2 linked regions of the Lytechinus pictus genome follow. The protein of the gene in region 2 purifies or fractionates together with the protein of the main gene of each other region. This does not show direct contact. Links are inferred from orthologs where the notes say so. Each region holds a gene or a part of one and is shown on either strand. Other genes may lie near its edges.

Region 1 (7,891 bases), on a different chromosome or scaffold from region 2:
GGGACCTTATGCCTTCTTGTCAGGCGCTCGACGTATGAGAATGGAGAAGGGTAATAATAACAATAATTATGCAGGGCCAGCTGGAAGAACAGCTTACAACTGAGAGTGGCTACCCTGGGTAAATTATTATCATTATTATTATTATTGACACTTTACTTACTTTGCTGGTTTTAAATCCCTGTGTATTAACTTCTTTGGCGTCATACAGTGAAGGTAGTCGACCCCCTTGGCACACTGCAAGGCCCAGCTCATGGCGTGGGCAGCCTTGTAGATGGGCTGCGGCTGGCTGCTGTGAAGGACATTGTACAGCGACCCGCCCTCGGCATACTCCATCACCAGGCAGACGGGGCGGGTGGTGCACGCCCCGTAGAGCTTGACGATGTTTGGATGGTCCACTCGGGAAAGCTGCCTGACCTGAAATTTAGATTTTTTTTCAGTGAGATGTGCATCATCATTATTGCCATTATTCGGCATCAACATTATAAATATTGTCTTCTTCATCCTAAAATCGTATGTTCTCAACTTTTTTTTTTGCATCAGCAGCAGCATTATCATCATCATCAACATCACCGTTATCATCACCACCATCACAACCATCATCATCATCCTTATCACCATCATCAGCATCATCATCATCATCATAACCATTAGTCAATTACCATTTTCATCATCATCATTACCATCATCATCACCATCATCATCACCATTATCATCATCATCACCACCACCATCATAAAAAACAGTGGCATATTGAGCCAAATATTTTAAGGTGGCAGAAAATTTGTTTAATAAGTTGCAAGTGAGGAACAAAAAAAATTACAGCATTTTTAATACGAGTAGCTAATTTTGTTAGACTTTGACAATATATTTCACCTATTTCCTGTCCTTTTTTCCCTAGTTTATATCTTGGTCATGGAACTGTTTTGGGGGCCTTCAAAAAGTAAAAAGATATACGACTTACCTCGACTCTGAAGGCTTTGATCTCCTCTTCTGATTCGATCATCTTGACAGCCACATTCATAGATCGCCATTTTGCTTTACTTACTACTCCAAACGCTCCTTTGCCTACGACCTACATGTACAAAACAAAGTCCAATTATATATAATGAATGCTCGACCTAACAAATTTCATTTAGAGACAGTGATATGGAAATGAGAAAGACAATGATGTTCCCACTCACTATTTCTTTTGTATTTTTTATTGTCTGAATTATTCCATATTTCATTTTTTACAGGTTCGACAATAAGTACCAACTTCACTGACCCATAAAACCTTAAAACAATGGTAAATTCACATGTTCAAGGATGAATAAAACTTTCTTTCACAGGACAATGGGGAGAAAATTAGAATAGGGGTCTAGAAAAATATACCATATTTCATTATAATAAAATACAAAAGAAATAGCGAGTGGATGATGACATCAGTCTCCTCATTTGCATACCGTCCAGGATGTGCCTATAATAAACTGTTTTGTGAAATTAAAGTGATCATTTCACTTTGTTCCGATTTGAAAAATTATCCTTTTGGTTCCTGAAAATGGGCTAGACATGAGGCTTATAGTGTAAAAATACTAACCCAAAAGTTTCAAAGTATTATATTTACAGGATCAATTTTAAAACCTTGGAGATGTAAACCAAAGTTTGAAATAATTGGGAGTTGGTTTCAATGACTATGTGTATACAGGGAATCTGTGCACAACACATTAATTCTAGATGAACACAGCATGACCTACATACAGTGTGTACAAGGTATACACTGAATGTACAGTGCAGCTAATAGTGTGTGTATAGGAGATACACACAACAGAAGGCAGTCAAAATAGCCAACGGACTTTTTGAATTGGAGAAAACTGGTCATAAGCTGAACCCGTCTACTAGACGGTTCTCAAAATCAGGCTAATAAATTGCTACTTGTATCTAAATTAGAGTTTTTCATCCTATATTGTGGTCTGTTTCAGGGTTTTTGAGGACAAATAATGGCACTCATACGCACGTTTCAACTCAGTTTGAGAATTTTTTAAATCAGCTGCTCACAAAGTTAAACGATCCCTTTAAGCGAAACTTTAAAATGTCATAACTTTCTTATTTTACATCCAATTTTGATGAAATTCTCAGTGTTATGTCTTATGCTTGCACTTGTTCATTATTTAAGTTGTATGTTTGAATTTTCTCTTTTAATTTTATCAAAATAATCTGTTGGGGTGGACTTGTCTTATATAACAATACAAACTGTTACCCCCAACATTTCTTGAACCCATCCAGGACCATTATTTAACTTTAATAGCTGGGAGCTCAGCATTAAAAAACTTTGAGTAATAGCCTAATAGGCAATATCTATTCCCTGCTTCTGCATCATATAGTGAGTGATTGTATTACCGACCGGCCTTGTATTACCGAACGCGCGCATCATATGCGTCAGAAAATAATCAAATACGCTCAAACCTTTACAACATCCTTCAAAAGGGAACTTGAATAGAAAAATGATGGAAAATGATCAAAAACACAATTTCGAAGTCTTTATATCCTCAAAACAATAATATATGGTCAAAATAGCTCATCAGTGACTTTGTTGTTTTCCCAACTTTTCCCATAGAAAACACACGTTCGGTAATACGATACCTTTTTCAAGTGACCAAAATATTTCACTTGCGGAGCCGGAGAGAGGTCCGATTGGAAGCTGATGTCGTAAAAATGAAAAACAATTTCGGCAAAATTTCTGCATATTTATATCTTGTAGGTATTTGTGTATTTATGGTGAAAGTTTGGTGAATTTTATTGGAATAATGTGTTTGATATGATCAAATTCATGAAGTGTTCGGTAATACGATCCACTACCATACATGTACACCGCACAAATACACAACACAGCACAAATAAAAACGTACCGGACTACATGTAAACTTTACAATGCACTCCACTGCAATGCAGTCTGTCTGGTGTCCCCACCCAACACACAAAAAAAACAATTAATGCAAAGGTCTTACCCTCTCAAATTCTAAATCGTTGAAATCAACTTCCTCCTTGAAGCTCATCTGGGATTCCAGGCGCGCCATTTTTGTTAAATGCTACTTTATTCTGGAGAAATAAAAGGTTTCATCCCGATACGACATCTGTTTCGCCGCACCGAGATAATTCACAAAAGGGAATTCCCCATTTGAAGGGCGCTGGTGCGCTGGCGATCAATCGACAATCAATGTCAATGATTTACAATAATGTTACGGATCAGTTTGATCTAAAATACAACTTAAAAAGCCAAAAATATTTGCAACATTTTACCTTCCTTTGAGACCCCCCCCCCCCAAATAAAAAAAAATGAATTGAAAATGCATCACAAAACTCTATTCTATTGATTTCTTTTTAATTACGAACTACAAATTTGTTTGAATTTTTTTTCACTCAGACCCCCCGCCCCTTCCTCCCCGGCTTCCTCCAAAGTCCAAACAAACACCAAATATTCTCGTTAACACAACGCAAGACAAAAAAGACCAATCTTCTCGGGCTTCAGTGGAACAAAACACGAAACAATCAAACAAATAACTAGACAAAAAAATGCAATCTGTCAAATTATTTTCGGTGCAAAATACGGATCTCTGAGTTCTCTCTCTTTAAATAGTGCGTAATAATAACATTAAAAAAGTAGTTTCAGTAGTTTCAGTAGAGAAATCTTATCCATACAGCCCTAACCTCGAATCTCCAACGTACGTTTCTACCAATCAGCAGGCTCCTCCTCCTCTCTCCAGCCCACCCCCCCCCCCCCCTCGGCCCCTCTCCCACTCCTCTTTTTTTCCTCTTCAGTTCTCCCCCTCCCACCTTCTCTTCGATCTTCGCTTTCCATGATTCGGGCTTCCTGTTTTGTTTGTATTTGATTTATTTATTTATTTTGTTTATTTTTATTTATTCATTTATTCATTTATTCATTTATTCATTTATTCATTTATTCATTTATTCATTTATTTATCTATTTATCTATTTTTTTTTTTTTCTTTCTTTTTTGTGGGGGGTCTTGTCCCGGTTATGTACGTGATTTTTTTTTTTTTTTTCATTTTTCATACACTTTCCCAAAAGGGGTATGATTGTTTAAAATTTCAATGGTGTATAGGCATAAATAAAGAGTTTGACCCGAGTCGTATTATTGAAACTTATCAATTTGCAACACTGAATAAAATTTATATCTCGATGTCGAGTTATTTATTGCATAAACAAGCTGTTCTTTCGAAAGCATTCCTTTTTGTGTGTAATTTCTGTATTATATTTTTAGACGATCTAGGGGATCTTCAAACTTCCACCTACCCAAAATATCACCTCTTTAGCAAAGAATTGTATGTTTTACAAAGGACCAATATTATCTGGAACAAAATACCACTTTATGTTAAATCTATCATTAAATGTTTTTAAAAGGAGATCAAAACCCAACTTCTCAGTAAATATTCTAATAATGTTTGACCAAATTTTCTTTTCTCTTTCGCCTTTCGTTTTTTGGAGTAATTATCTTTGTGTCATTGTGTTAAAATGTGTATTTCCCCCTTTTATGCTCAATCTGGTATTCAGTATTCATGACATCATGATTATACTCCACAATATCATATATTCAGTTTCCAGTTTTTGTGAAGGTGGCAGCACCAATAATTGCATTTGTAATTGCCTCCGCACTCATTCATAAATTATGAATAGGGCCTACTTTTTTTTCAATTGTTTTCCAGATTTTATAATTGCATTATCATCACGATTATACGATTTTTCCATGTAAAGTATGTTAAAGGTCAAGTCCACCCCAGAAAAATGTTGATTTGAAATAATAGAGAAAAATCAAACAAGCATAATATTGAAAATTTCATCAAAATTGGATGAAAAATAAGAAAGTTATGACATTTTAAATTTTCGTTTATTTTCCACAAAACAGTTAACAGGACAACAATATGATTGCATAAAATGCCATAAAAACAAATTGCATCATGCATGGTCCGGTCCGGTGTGACCTACTTTCACCATTATTATGCAGGTACAGGTGCGCCTTCACCATTCAGTTGGTTATACCGCGCCCTGATTGGATAAAAGTTTTATTCCGCGCAGGTGCCATTGTGATGTCACACTTAACGAACTTTTAGATTGTGACGTCACAATGGCACCGACGAGGAGTAAAAACTTTTATCCAATCAGAGCGCGGTAACCAATGGGACGGTGACGACGCACCTGTTTGTTATAGGCCTACTTTAAAACCTTGTAATGCGGATATGTTTCATTTTCATGGCTGCGTTTGCAAAGAAATAAAAATTATCACAGAGGCTGCTTCAATTCCTTATTCCGATCTGAAAGAGAAATACAATCACATCACATTAGGATAGTACGGATGAATAGGATTTCTCCATGGCCCTGGGAAGCGGGGGTGCTGATTTCTGCACCCGGACCGCGATTTTCCTTGGGGGTGCTGCGTATATTACAGGCGCTAGGCAGCACCCCTTGGAGTTCTGGTAGGTGTTAAAAAATTGACAAATGTAACCAAAATTACTTATATTTTGTAGTGGAACCTTTTTTCTTTTATCTTCTTTTTTTCTTGTCAAACTTCTCGGGATCAAAATGGCCTTCAATTTGTTGTGAACCCCTCCCTCTTTTATTTTTGCTTGTCAAATTTACATCAGCGACCCTACTACAAAATCGTGCCCAGGGCCCTACACTGTAAAAAAAAAACATTGAATCAGTAGTTAACACTTAATGTATTTAAGTAGAATTTACAATTTGTAATTATTTTTCGTTGTTTTTAAGTAGTTTCAACTTGTCTTTTAATTTACTTGATTTACTTGATTTATTTGGGTTCAATATACATTTAAGAAAATTCGCGTATTGATAGCTTGCTTTGATTGAGTAAATCTAACTCAATTAGGCAAAGATGATTATTACTTATAAAATAATGTTGAATGTACTTATATTTTCAATTAACGCCATATTTAAATAATGCATGAATATTCATTAGAGCAAGTAAATGTTTTTTTTTTAATAACTGTCATTTCTATTTGTGTTTGAAATTGTTTTGGATAAGGGTGTGCTAACTATTGTATTCTTTTGTTGAATCAAAGAAAAGGCAACATTAAATAGTCATTTAGCAGAAAATTATTCTCACTGTTTTATTTGTAAGAATGAAACGATCGCGTATAAATATCAATGTCAGTACCTATACATGTACAGGTAAGTGACAATTCACAAAGTTTAATATTTGGATAAAACATGTATAAAATGAAAATGATGCCACCAAAAGTGGGACGATGGGGGAGCGGACTTTCGAATCACGAAAGTCCATCCACTCCCCCATTTGATATTTTCAAATATTTTAGTGATTGTTTTACTTAATTGAATTAAGTTATTGTAACTTAATTTTCTTGAGTAAAATGGAAGCAAAGAAAATAAGTAAATTTTACTTAAAACTGCCAAAGTCATAAATACTTGAAAAAATTAAGGCAATTTTTTGCCACAATTTTATTAAGTAATTTCTACTAATTTTTTTTTACAGTGTAGATTTCTCCTTTAACGTTTGATATCGATGTTGATTGCTACTATACTCTAAAATCAATTAAGGATTTTAAATAAATCCAGATCGGCTGTGAATAGTGACCAGCCGAATATTAGATTTAGTTTCAAACCTTGTACACTGAAATATAAATCTAAAATATTTGAATTTAAATCCTTTGAGATTAGTAAGTTAATCCTAAAGATTCAAAATAAATCCAACATTCGGCTGGTCACTATCCACAGCCGATCTGGATTTATTTTAAATCCTTGATTTTTAGAATGTATCCTTCTATGGCTAATTTAAACTTGACTGTGCATCTTGAATTAGTGGTATTTAAATAACCCATTCCATCAAATTCGTCAATCCGATTTTTTAAACATTTAAAAATCACTTTGCCTCTACAATTTCTCGAGGTAGATTGCTCCAATCTCTTACAACTCATGGAGTAAAACATTACTCCTAACATCCAGTCTTGATCTTTTTCATGAAGAGTTTTGATTGTGTCCTCTGGTTACTCTGCACTGTACACAGTAAAAACGCTGTTTAAGATTTTATGCAACGCTGTTTACTATATGAACCTTATATACAGTATTTGTTTAACCGTTTAAACAATCATGTTTAATTTATTGAAAATAAGATATTGAAAATTAAACTTTGTTGCTTAAAATTTAAACAGTTGTTTAAACTGTTTAAACAATTACTGTAAGGTTCATATAGTAAACAGCGTTGTATAATCTTTTTTTTACTGTGTAAAAAAATATTTCCGGCAGAATTTCAAGTCGACCCGTCAGAATTTTGAAGACTGCAGTCATATCACCTCTTTTGTAGATTGAGTGCTTTCAAACGTTCTTCATAATTTAGCTCTCGATCGTAGAACTCAGTGAAGCTTTTTGTTGCTCTTCGTGTTGCACCCCTGGTTGCACCTTTTCTACTTTATCTTAGTCCAATTTATGAATGCCACAGTTCAATGTTATCATATTCAAGATGAGGTCGTACAAGTATGGTGGACAAAATGGGAAGCATATCCTTTGATATTTTCCGAAATGTTCTCTTTATCATTCCTTCAATTTCATTTGCTTGAATCTGGATTTGCCACATTCTGGTGGAAATCTATTTCCTTATCAATAATTACTCCGAAGGTCTTTGGCCTGTCCGACTCCATTCATTGTGTGGTTCTTCTTGAAGTTCTTTCCCATATATATGAACCACCTTACATTTAAATTTCCAACATTTCCATCTTTTGGACCACTTAGTTGATTTGGATAGAAATACTGGTATCAAAGATTTGTGTATCATCTGCAAATATGTATACCTGATACTCAAACAGGTATTCAGGGGCCGCGGAACGGTTCAATAAAGTGGAAGAGGGGGGGGGGGCGGCTGACCATG
Region 2 (8,244 bases):
TTCTATCATTCTGATTTGATCGATGGTCTTGACATCTGGTGACAGACCTCCATGTACACACAGAACCTGCTCATCAATGATCTTGCAAAGACACAAAGGAGCAATAAACAATTAGAAATTTAAATTTATGGAATTACACTCTTGAAACCAGATGAATTGCATCCAAAACTTAATACTTGAAAATTGAAAAAACAGATCAATGGATGATTAAGAAAGATTAAATTAATCACAAAGTTATAAAGGATTTGAATATTGAGAACTTAAGATCACTAAATGCTTTGGAGATCCTCACATTGGCAACGTAAACAAAATGTACAATTTTTTATGTTGCATTTTATAAAGATGTCTTTTGTTCTACAGGAATTTACATCTTCTCAAAAATATACTACATACATATAAAACTTCAATTCACGTTTGTTTCTTGTCTTCATGCACCATTTTGTCTCTTGACAACAATTAATGCAGTAAGTTTCATTCCAACTGCAAAAGTCACCCTATCTTCAAATCCCCTCTCTCCCACTAAAAATCATCTCTTCAATTTAATAATATATTCACATCATCACATTTGGCAACCTCATCAACAATAAAACAATTTTCTTCACTTGAAACTTACTGCAGCGATTGTGAGAAGATCAAAGACTTTGGTGCAGTACCTCCATGCATTAGCATTTCCATATTTCGTCTGACATTCATCTGAAAATGAAAAAAAAGGGAGCAGTTTAGAGTTTTCACATGTCATTGGTCATGTTTCACTACAAATAAATTAGAAGCTACAAGGGCTAACGGCTCCTTGGTCTAATAATAGTTGGTCTAACACCAGTTGGTCTAATTAATCCATTATTTCTCCATGAAAATGTGTATTTTTTCAATCAACCCTACTTTTAATTGTCATTCAACTGTCACCCTCTGCCGATACTTGCAGGGAGGTATAGGACTACCAGGCAAAGATGCAGCCGGATTAAACACAACACCATTTCAAGGGCCATATTGTTTTTGTACAGTAGTCTGCCTCTCAAAACTATGTTGTCTAATCCGGCGAGATTTGCACCTGGGCCCCGTCTTACAGAGTTGCGATTGATTCGATCAACCTCAACTATATGGAAATCCATCATTGTCATAATTTTTCCTATCAGAAATTTGCACAATGTCCTTTGTTAACAAAGAGAAAGCATAACAAATTGTCAAGACTAAGATGAATGTATTAAAGGGTATGTATCGTATCTAGAAAATATTTTGAACAAACATGCATTTTAGATATGGGCGTTGCTGGCTTTCCATAGTTGTGGTTGATCGGATCAATCGCAACTCTTGTAAGACGAGGCCCAGGAATTACAACCTCTGCTATAGCAAGCACTCCATCCAAAACTAACTCATTGAAATAAATGTATGTCTTCTGTTCAGCCCTTGCGTACATGTTAATATATGACAATACATGTATTTCTATGACACTGACAACTTTGCCTTCTCTTTTTGATACTTCTTTCTCTTTCAACTACAAATTCATAATTTGTTATACCCCTTCTTATTCCTGTCAAATTTTCATAAATACATTTTGTTTTTATAATGGTTGGCAGGCTCTGGAATAAAGATGGCTTACCATAGAATCCATAGACTTGTGTAATTTGTCTGCTTTCATGATTCCCTCTCAACAGAACAATACGGTCTGGCCATTTTGCTTTTAGTGTGAGTAACCTAGTGAATGTCTCTAAGCTGTAATAACCTCGGTCTACAAAGTCACCCTGGAAGGGAAAGAATGGATGGGATTTATCAAACAAAGTAAAAGTCCTATCCAATCCAATGGTCATTAGAAATATCACATTTCCTTTTGGTTGCAAAGCACTGCAGACACACAACTCCAAGTTTGGGCTAGTCAAATAATAATTCAACACCTCAGAATGGTCAGATTAGTCCATGCAATTCATTGTCCTCATTAGCAAAATAGATGGAATTTAATGACTTTCTTGAATAGCCATAAAATTGCCATTACCTATCTTTTACCTTTTTTTTTACCTAATTTTTTTTCAAACTATCAAAATCTTCATAACAATGATTTTTTAACCTTTGTTTTCATCTTGAAATTAATTTTTTTTTTTTTTTTTTGGGGGGGGTTGTTGTATGCACTTTGATCAATAACGAGATCGGGTCCACATAACATAAAGCTCAGTGATGTCTTGATAAGTTTCCCCCAATCAAGTGATAAAAAAAGAATTTCTTACCATGAAAATATAACTTGTATCTGGGATCTGACCACCAGTCCTGAAAAGCTCTTCCAAGTCATAAAACTGTGAAATGGGGAAAAGAATATTAATAAAAATACATGAACAAGTACTTACTAAATGAAATATGGTAAAACAAATGGTGTCTAGGTAAAAATTATGAGACACGATAAATTGGATTTGTCTGAAAAAGATGAAAAGCAAATGTTAAATGGAATACTCCCAAAATAATTATGATATGTATACATGCAAACAAAAAAATCCTTACTTCTTAGCATCATTGAGAACACAGTTATGATGACTCTAATATCTGGACATACAGTAAAGGGCTAAAAGTGATTTTATGCGATGTGGTGGGGGGGGGGGGGGAAATGAAGATGGGATGGTGCAAGCAAGGATGGAAGATGAAGGAGAAGGGTGAAGAATAGAAGCGAAAGAGGGGAAGAAGGATAATGGGGAGGAGGAGGACTGATGAAAGGATGAGCAGAAAAAGAAAGGGGCAAGGAGAAAGGAGATGATGAGGTAGACAGAAAGGAAGAAAAGAAGGACACAGGGAAGGTAAAGACCAGAAAAGATTACGGGACGGAAAGAAAAGGAAAAGATTAAAAAAAAGGATAGGGAAAAAGTATGACCAACAAGGAGCTATCATCTAATTGAAAATCTAATGTAACAGTTACATCAACAAAACCGACCACAGACCAATGAAATTTACTTGTATGTTATTTTAAATTCTCAGATTTCTATTTCGAATAAGAAAAAAAATATGGATATCATAACATTGGTCAATTGGAGTCACTTTTGTTGTTGTGAATGCAATATACCCAAGAAATTTACCTGTCCATGTATATCCCCACACACTGTAACTGGAGTTGATACCGGTTGAACGTTGCATTCCTCTAACTGCAGGTCACATACCACATCACACAATTTCTGGGGAACAAAAAGTGGAGAAATAATTTGATTGAAACACCAAATGCAGAATCAGGGATTTAGAAAAGTACCCATGGTCAAGGAAAAGCAATTTTTCTTAAAAATTACAAAGACATGGCTATTGCCATTATTCCCATCCGATTCACAAGGGTCCAAGGTAGAAAGGTTGTAAAAATATCATCCTATAAAACAAATATCTCACCACCCCTCCCCCTTTTGTCTTAGCTGAAAACGAGTGTCGCTACTTAAGGCGAGCACATAATACGCCCGTCTGTAAAATGGAAAATGGAGTTATTGGTCAAGCAAGAAAAGTGGAAGGTGGCGACTTGACCTTTGACCTTTTGACCTCAAAATCGATAGGCTTCCTGGGATCCATGCTAGTATCATACACACCAAATTATATGAGCCTTGGTTAAATTAAAGTTATCGCGTTTAGAAGGATTTTAGAAGGGTATTAAAGATGAAAACATGTCGGTGTGACCTTGATTTTTGTCCTCAAAATTAATAGGTTTCCTAGGATCTAGGCTAGTATCATACACACCAAATTATATGAGCCTAGAATAAGTTAAACTAAATATCACCTTAAGGACTTCAGAAGGGTAAGATGAAAACATGACAGTGTGACCTTGACCTTTTGACCTCAAAATCAATTGGCTTCCTGGGATACAATTACATGCTAGTTACATACACATCAAATTATATGAGCCTAGATTAAGTAAAATTGAAGTAATCTCCTTTACAAGGACTGCAGAAGGTTAAGATGAAAATATGTCACTGTAACCTTGACCTTTGCACCTCAAAATCAATAGGCTTCCTGGGATCAATGCTATATATCATAATGATAATACACCAAATTATATGAGCCTAGGTTAAGTCAAACTAAAGTTATCGCGTTTACAAGAAAAAGTTAACGGACGGACATTGAGCGTGATATACGTTCCGTCTAGGACGGGCCTATAAAAAGTGATAGGTGAACATAACTTGGCGATTACATATTGCTAAATCATGGTTAATATAAGACCCCTGTTACACATACGTTTGCAAGTGGACTGAGGCCGGCCCCGGAGGCGGCTCGACGTATGTGTAACATCAACTTTTTTTGAAAAGCCGGACTGAGGCCGGACTGAGGCCAGGTGGACTCAGTCCACCTCTGGATGTGGTTTGAGGCCGGCCCGAGTCCGGACTCAGTCCCGCAATCGGTAGGTGTAACACCAAAGTGGACTCGGCGCCGGCTTATAAGCGGAAGTGACGCGACCTGTCATCATCAACAATGCATCGGCCGGGCGCGCTTTTGCCATTTGGACCAGGCATGCAGTATATATTATAGGTAAGCCTCGCCCCGAGCGTAAAATTACATTGTTTTTCATCATTTATTGCTTTAAATTTTAATTTCCTCATATCCAGCAGCCTGCACTAAGACACGACATATTCTGTACTGGTGGGCTAAAAGTTTAAACCGTTTATTCCTGGTATTTTCTCCGAACAGAACTGATGAGTGATGGTGACTTGTAATTCAGTCCCATCCCTATATTTCTGTGGGTTTGGGAATTATGATTTTCGATCGTCTGATCATTTCCTGTTTATTTCGATGTTTTTAAATACATCGCTACTGTGATTGCACCATCTGAAGAATGATCATTATTTTTTTGTTGGCGATGATAATTTATCAATACTAATAGACAGACTAAAAACAATAGCCTGGACAGGAGTGCCATACATCATGAGCCGTCATAATTTTTCTCATATGATTATGAAATTATGACTCATCATCATCAGACTCGGAGTCAGACTGTCAGAGTTAATACATCATCTTATGCCTCAAACAAAGTCATCATGATCATGAGGCATGAACTTGATGAAGTATTTAACTTTGATTTTGAAGGCATGGCCAGGGGCAGGCCAGGCCATGAGACATGAAACTAGACAATTGCCATTAATTATTTCAAATGCCAATAATCCACTCAGTCGGAGTCGCACATAGTCAGAAATTGGACATGAAATATGTCGCTAGACATTGAAACAAATGAGTAGGGTCTAGATCTACATATAAAATAGTGTCTGCCTGTAAAATCCCCACAAAAAAGAAGTAGACTAAAATAAGTAGATTCTAGCGGTGAGTGCATAAAACAATGTTAATACAGATTACAGTACAATAATATACACAACTCTAACTTCGAAGTCCTATCCCTAACCAACCAAAGTCATCAGGAGGCCGCGTACTCTAGGATGGACGCCGGGGTCTGCGAACCCTAACCCTAGCTGTAACAGACTCTGCGTACCTTACTATTATAGTATTAACTGTCTCTATAATTAACACTCTAGGCCTACCATCTCTAAATGATCATTAAACCGTCTCTAAAATTATCACTAGAAGCAAATTGTATTAAAAATTGTATACATTAACAGATTAACACGTGATATGATAACAAAAGAAACTTGTAAATAAAGTATGAATAAGTTCTTCTTCCACCGGTATTCAGAGATCAGCGGCTGGCCACGTGTTAGTTGCCGAGCTGTAGGAGTTTATCTTGATGGACTTGATAGATTTTTAGAATATTATTTCCCATATTTTGTATACTATATGGATTTCTAGATAGTTATTTTAGAAAGTGATTTCCCATATTTTGTATACTTTATTTATATTAGTTATGTCATTCTAAGTCATACCCATATTTTTCAATTGTTTTATTCAATTTTAGTGATGGGTACATATGGAACTTTAGCGGAATAATTTGTCCATCGATCATCAAATGTTACATAGCAGGGGGAGAAGGGCCTTCATATATCTAGGTGGTCGATCAATCTGAATCATTAAATTTGAATTTTTGATGATATTCATGTCAACTGTCCCCTGACAAGAGAAGTTGTTGACAAGATCAAAAATCCTAAAAGGTGATTAATAGATGTTACACATAATTTTATATAATAATTTTACCACATCGTAATCTTTGTGGTTACCATTATTAATTTGTATTTGTATTTGTTCTCTCATTTTAGATCAAAATGGCACCAACAGGGAGAGGGAGTCTGTGGGAAGATGTGGAGACGCTGTGCCTCCTGAATATTTGGCGGGAGAAAAACATTCAAGAACAGATGGATGGCACAGTAAGGAACAAAACGGTATTTCGTAAGATATGCCAATTGATGAAAGAAAGGGGGTTCGAAAGGGCAGAGGACCAAATCAAGCGGAAAATTAAACAACTAAGAGCGTCCTTCCGAAAGACGGAGGACAATAACAATCGATCAGGCAGGGGGAGAATTACATGTAAATTCTATAGCGAACTGCAGGAGATCTTTGGGGGCAGACCAGAGACTGCACCAGTTGCCATTCTGGCGTCGCAACCAGAGGAGGAGGATCAATCTGAGTCGCTAGACTCGGTGGACTCTGATTCACTGCCGAGAGAGGAGGAGGAGGATGGAGCCGAAGAAGATAGAAGTATAACGGATGATGAACTGGAGGAAAATGATGTGGAAGCACCAACAGAATTGGGTAAAGGATTCCTCTTCCTTTTTTCATTTGTAATCACATATACATGTTTATTTGTATATACATGTGTAATTATAAAGACTAATCCTTTTTGGCTCTTACCCTCTCAGTGTGAGCATTTAAAATAAACATTATTGGTATCATTATATTGTCTTGATGTATCATTTTATACTGAGTAATATGAAAGGAACTGATTTGAATTTACTAAAATAAAAATGTATTGAAAGTTAGCCTTTGTTTTAAAATGTTTTTACTTCAGTGACACATAACAACATAAAAATTAGTTCCCCTTCATTTTATGCATAAAAATGAAATGTTTATTATTGTAGTCACTTATTGTAATCGCTTTTCTATCCCTCATTTTCTTTAGTTGGCAATTTTCCACCGGAGGATCTAGAGGGACCTTCAACATCATCTGCTAATGGACGTAAGGCAACTGGTAATATAAACAGATTGTTTCCATACATTTGCTTATTTATAGTTCATATGATATTTGAATTCGATTCAGCAAATTTTCAAGAAAAGGGGCCTTTTACATCCCGTTGATGTTGCTTTCATGCAGTATGATTTTTTTTTGCAACTCAAGGTTTTCTCACTTGATTTGTTGTATTAGCTATTAGAAGTGTGATATTGCATGCCTTATGTCAAATACAGAAAAGTATGTGTGTAACAAGTTGAAAGAAATAAAATGATTGTATACCTTTCTTACCGCTATCACATTTGATTGATTTTTTTTTATTTACGATGTATTTTATACTACCTACTTCATAACAGGGGAAAAGCGGAAGAAATCAAAGCTGCAGGAGTCCTTCGGACTGATAGCCAAGGAGATAAAGACACTGGAGGAGGACAGTACAAATGCCTTCAATGCTAGGGAGGATCGGTTCATGCAGCGCCAAATGGAGTGGGAGCGTGAGCTCCTAATGAAGGCACAGCGTACTGAAGAAAAAAAACTAGAGGAGAAGGAGAGGAGGAGAAGAGAAGAGAGGGAGCATAGAGAGCAAGAAAAAGAACGTGATAGACAGCATCAACTCCAAATGCTTCAGGCCTTAATGGCTGGTATGCGGCAGTCGTCAACTTCAATGTGGCAGCAACAGGGAAACAACTCCCAGTCCGGTCCAGAGCGGTCTCCAAATTCCTGGCCCTACAATCACGATTACACTCCACTGTAATTGTTACAAACATAATGCATTCTTCAAGTGGAGGAGTGTGTGTGTTTGGAATTCCCACGGTGGTAAACATGTATTTGTCATATGAGATGACACTTTTCAGGATTTTTGTTCATCACAATTTCTTTCCTCAGTACTTGTTGCTGCATATCATTCACCTGTACTCTTGCCATGCTGAAACCCTTGTTTTTACTTAGCCATCCATCTCAGTGCTGCCAGAATCATTGCCAAGGGCAAGGGAATTTACATGTAAATTGTAGATGTTAGTACTTTTTGTTCTTAGCACTTATAGATTTTTATAAACATATAACTTTGTTTTTATGTAGTTCTTTTTTACATCAAGTAACCATTTACTTGCTATTGGAACTTTTGTACATCTGTATATAAACATTCATTTTTATTTTTTCTTCTATTCTATGCATAACTTTTGAATGGACTATGT

The links.
Region 1: the proteins of serine/threonine-protein phosphatase 6 catalytic subunit (region 2) and mitogen-activated protein kinase kinase kinase 7-like purify together in Homo sapiens (affinity purification with western blotting; 3 studies listed by BioGRID and IntAct, with this or other methods). This does not show direct contact. The link is inferred for Lytechinus pictus from reciprocal best matches to the Homo sapiens genes PPP6C and MAP3K7.

Annotation. Positions count from the first base shown.
Region 1 is NC_087248.1:22,971,800-22,979,690, forward strand, and holds the start of mitogen-activated protein kinase kinase kinase 7-like, read right to left. Parts: upstream 3,152-7,891; 5' UTR 3,054-3,151; coding exon 2,985-3,053; intron 1,073-2,984; coding exon 962-1,072; intron 415-961; coding exon 161-414; intron 1-160. UniProt on the Homo sapiens protein: Serine/threonine kinase which acts as an essential component of the MAP kinase signal transduction pathway. Plays an important role in the cascades of cellular responses evoked by changes in the environment.
Region 2 is NC_087259.1:23,572,388-23,580,631, reverse strand, and holds the start of serine/threonine-protein phosphatase 6 catalytic subunit, read right to left. Parts: upstream 3,143-8,244; 5' UTR 3,051-3,142; intron 2,283-3,050; 5' UTR 2,220-2,282; coding exon 2,217-2,219; intron 1,740-2,216; coding exon 1,598-1,739; intron 694-1,597; coding exon 614-693; intron 82-613; coding exon 1-81. Other genes in the region: trichohyalin-like, read left to right, coding at 6,150-6,636, 7,004-7,072, 7,408-7,805.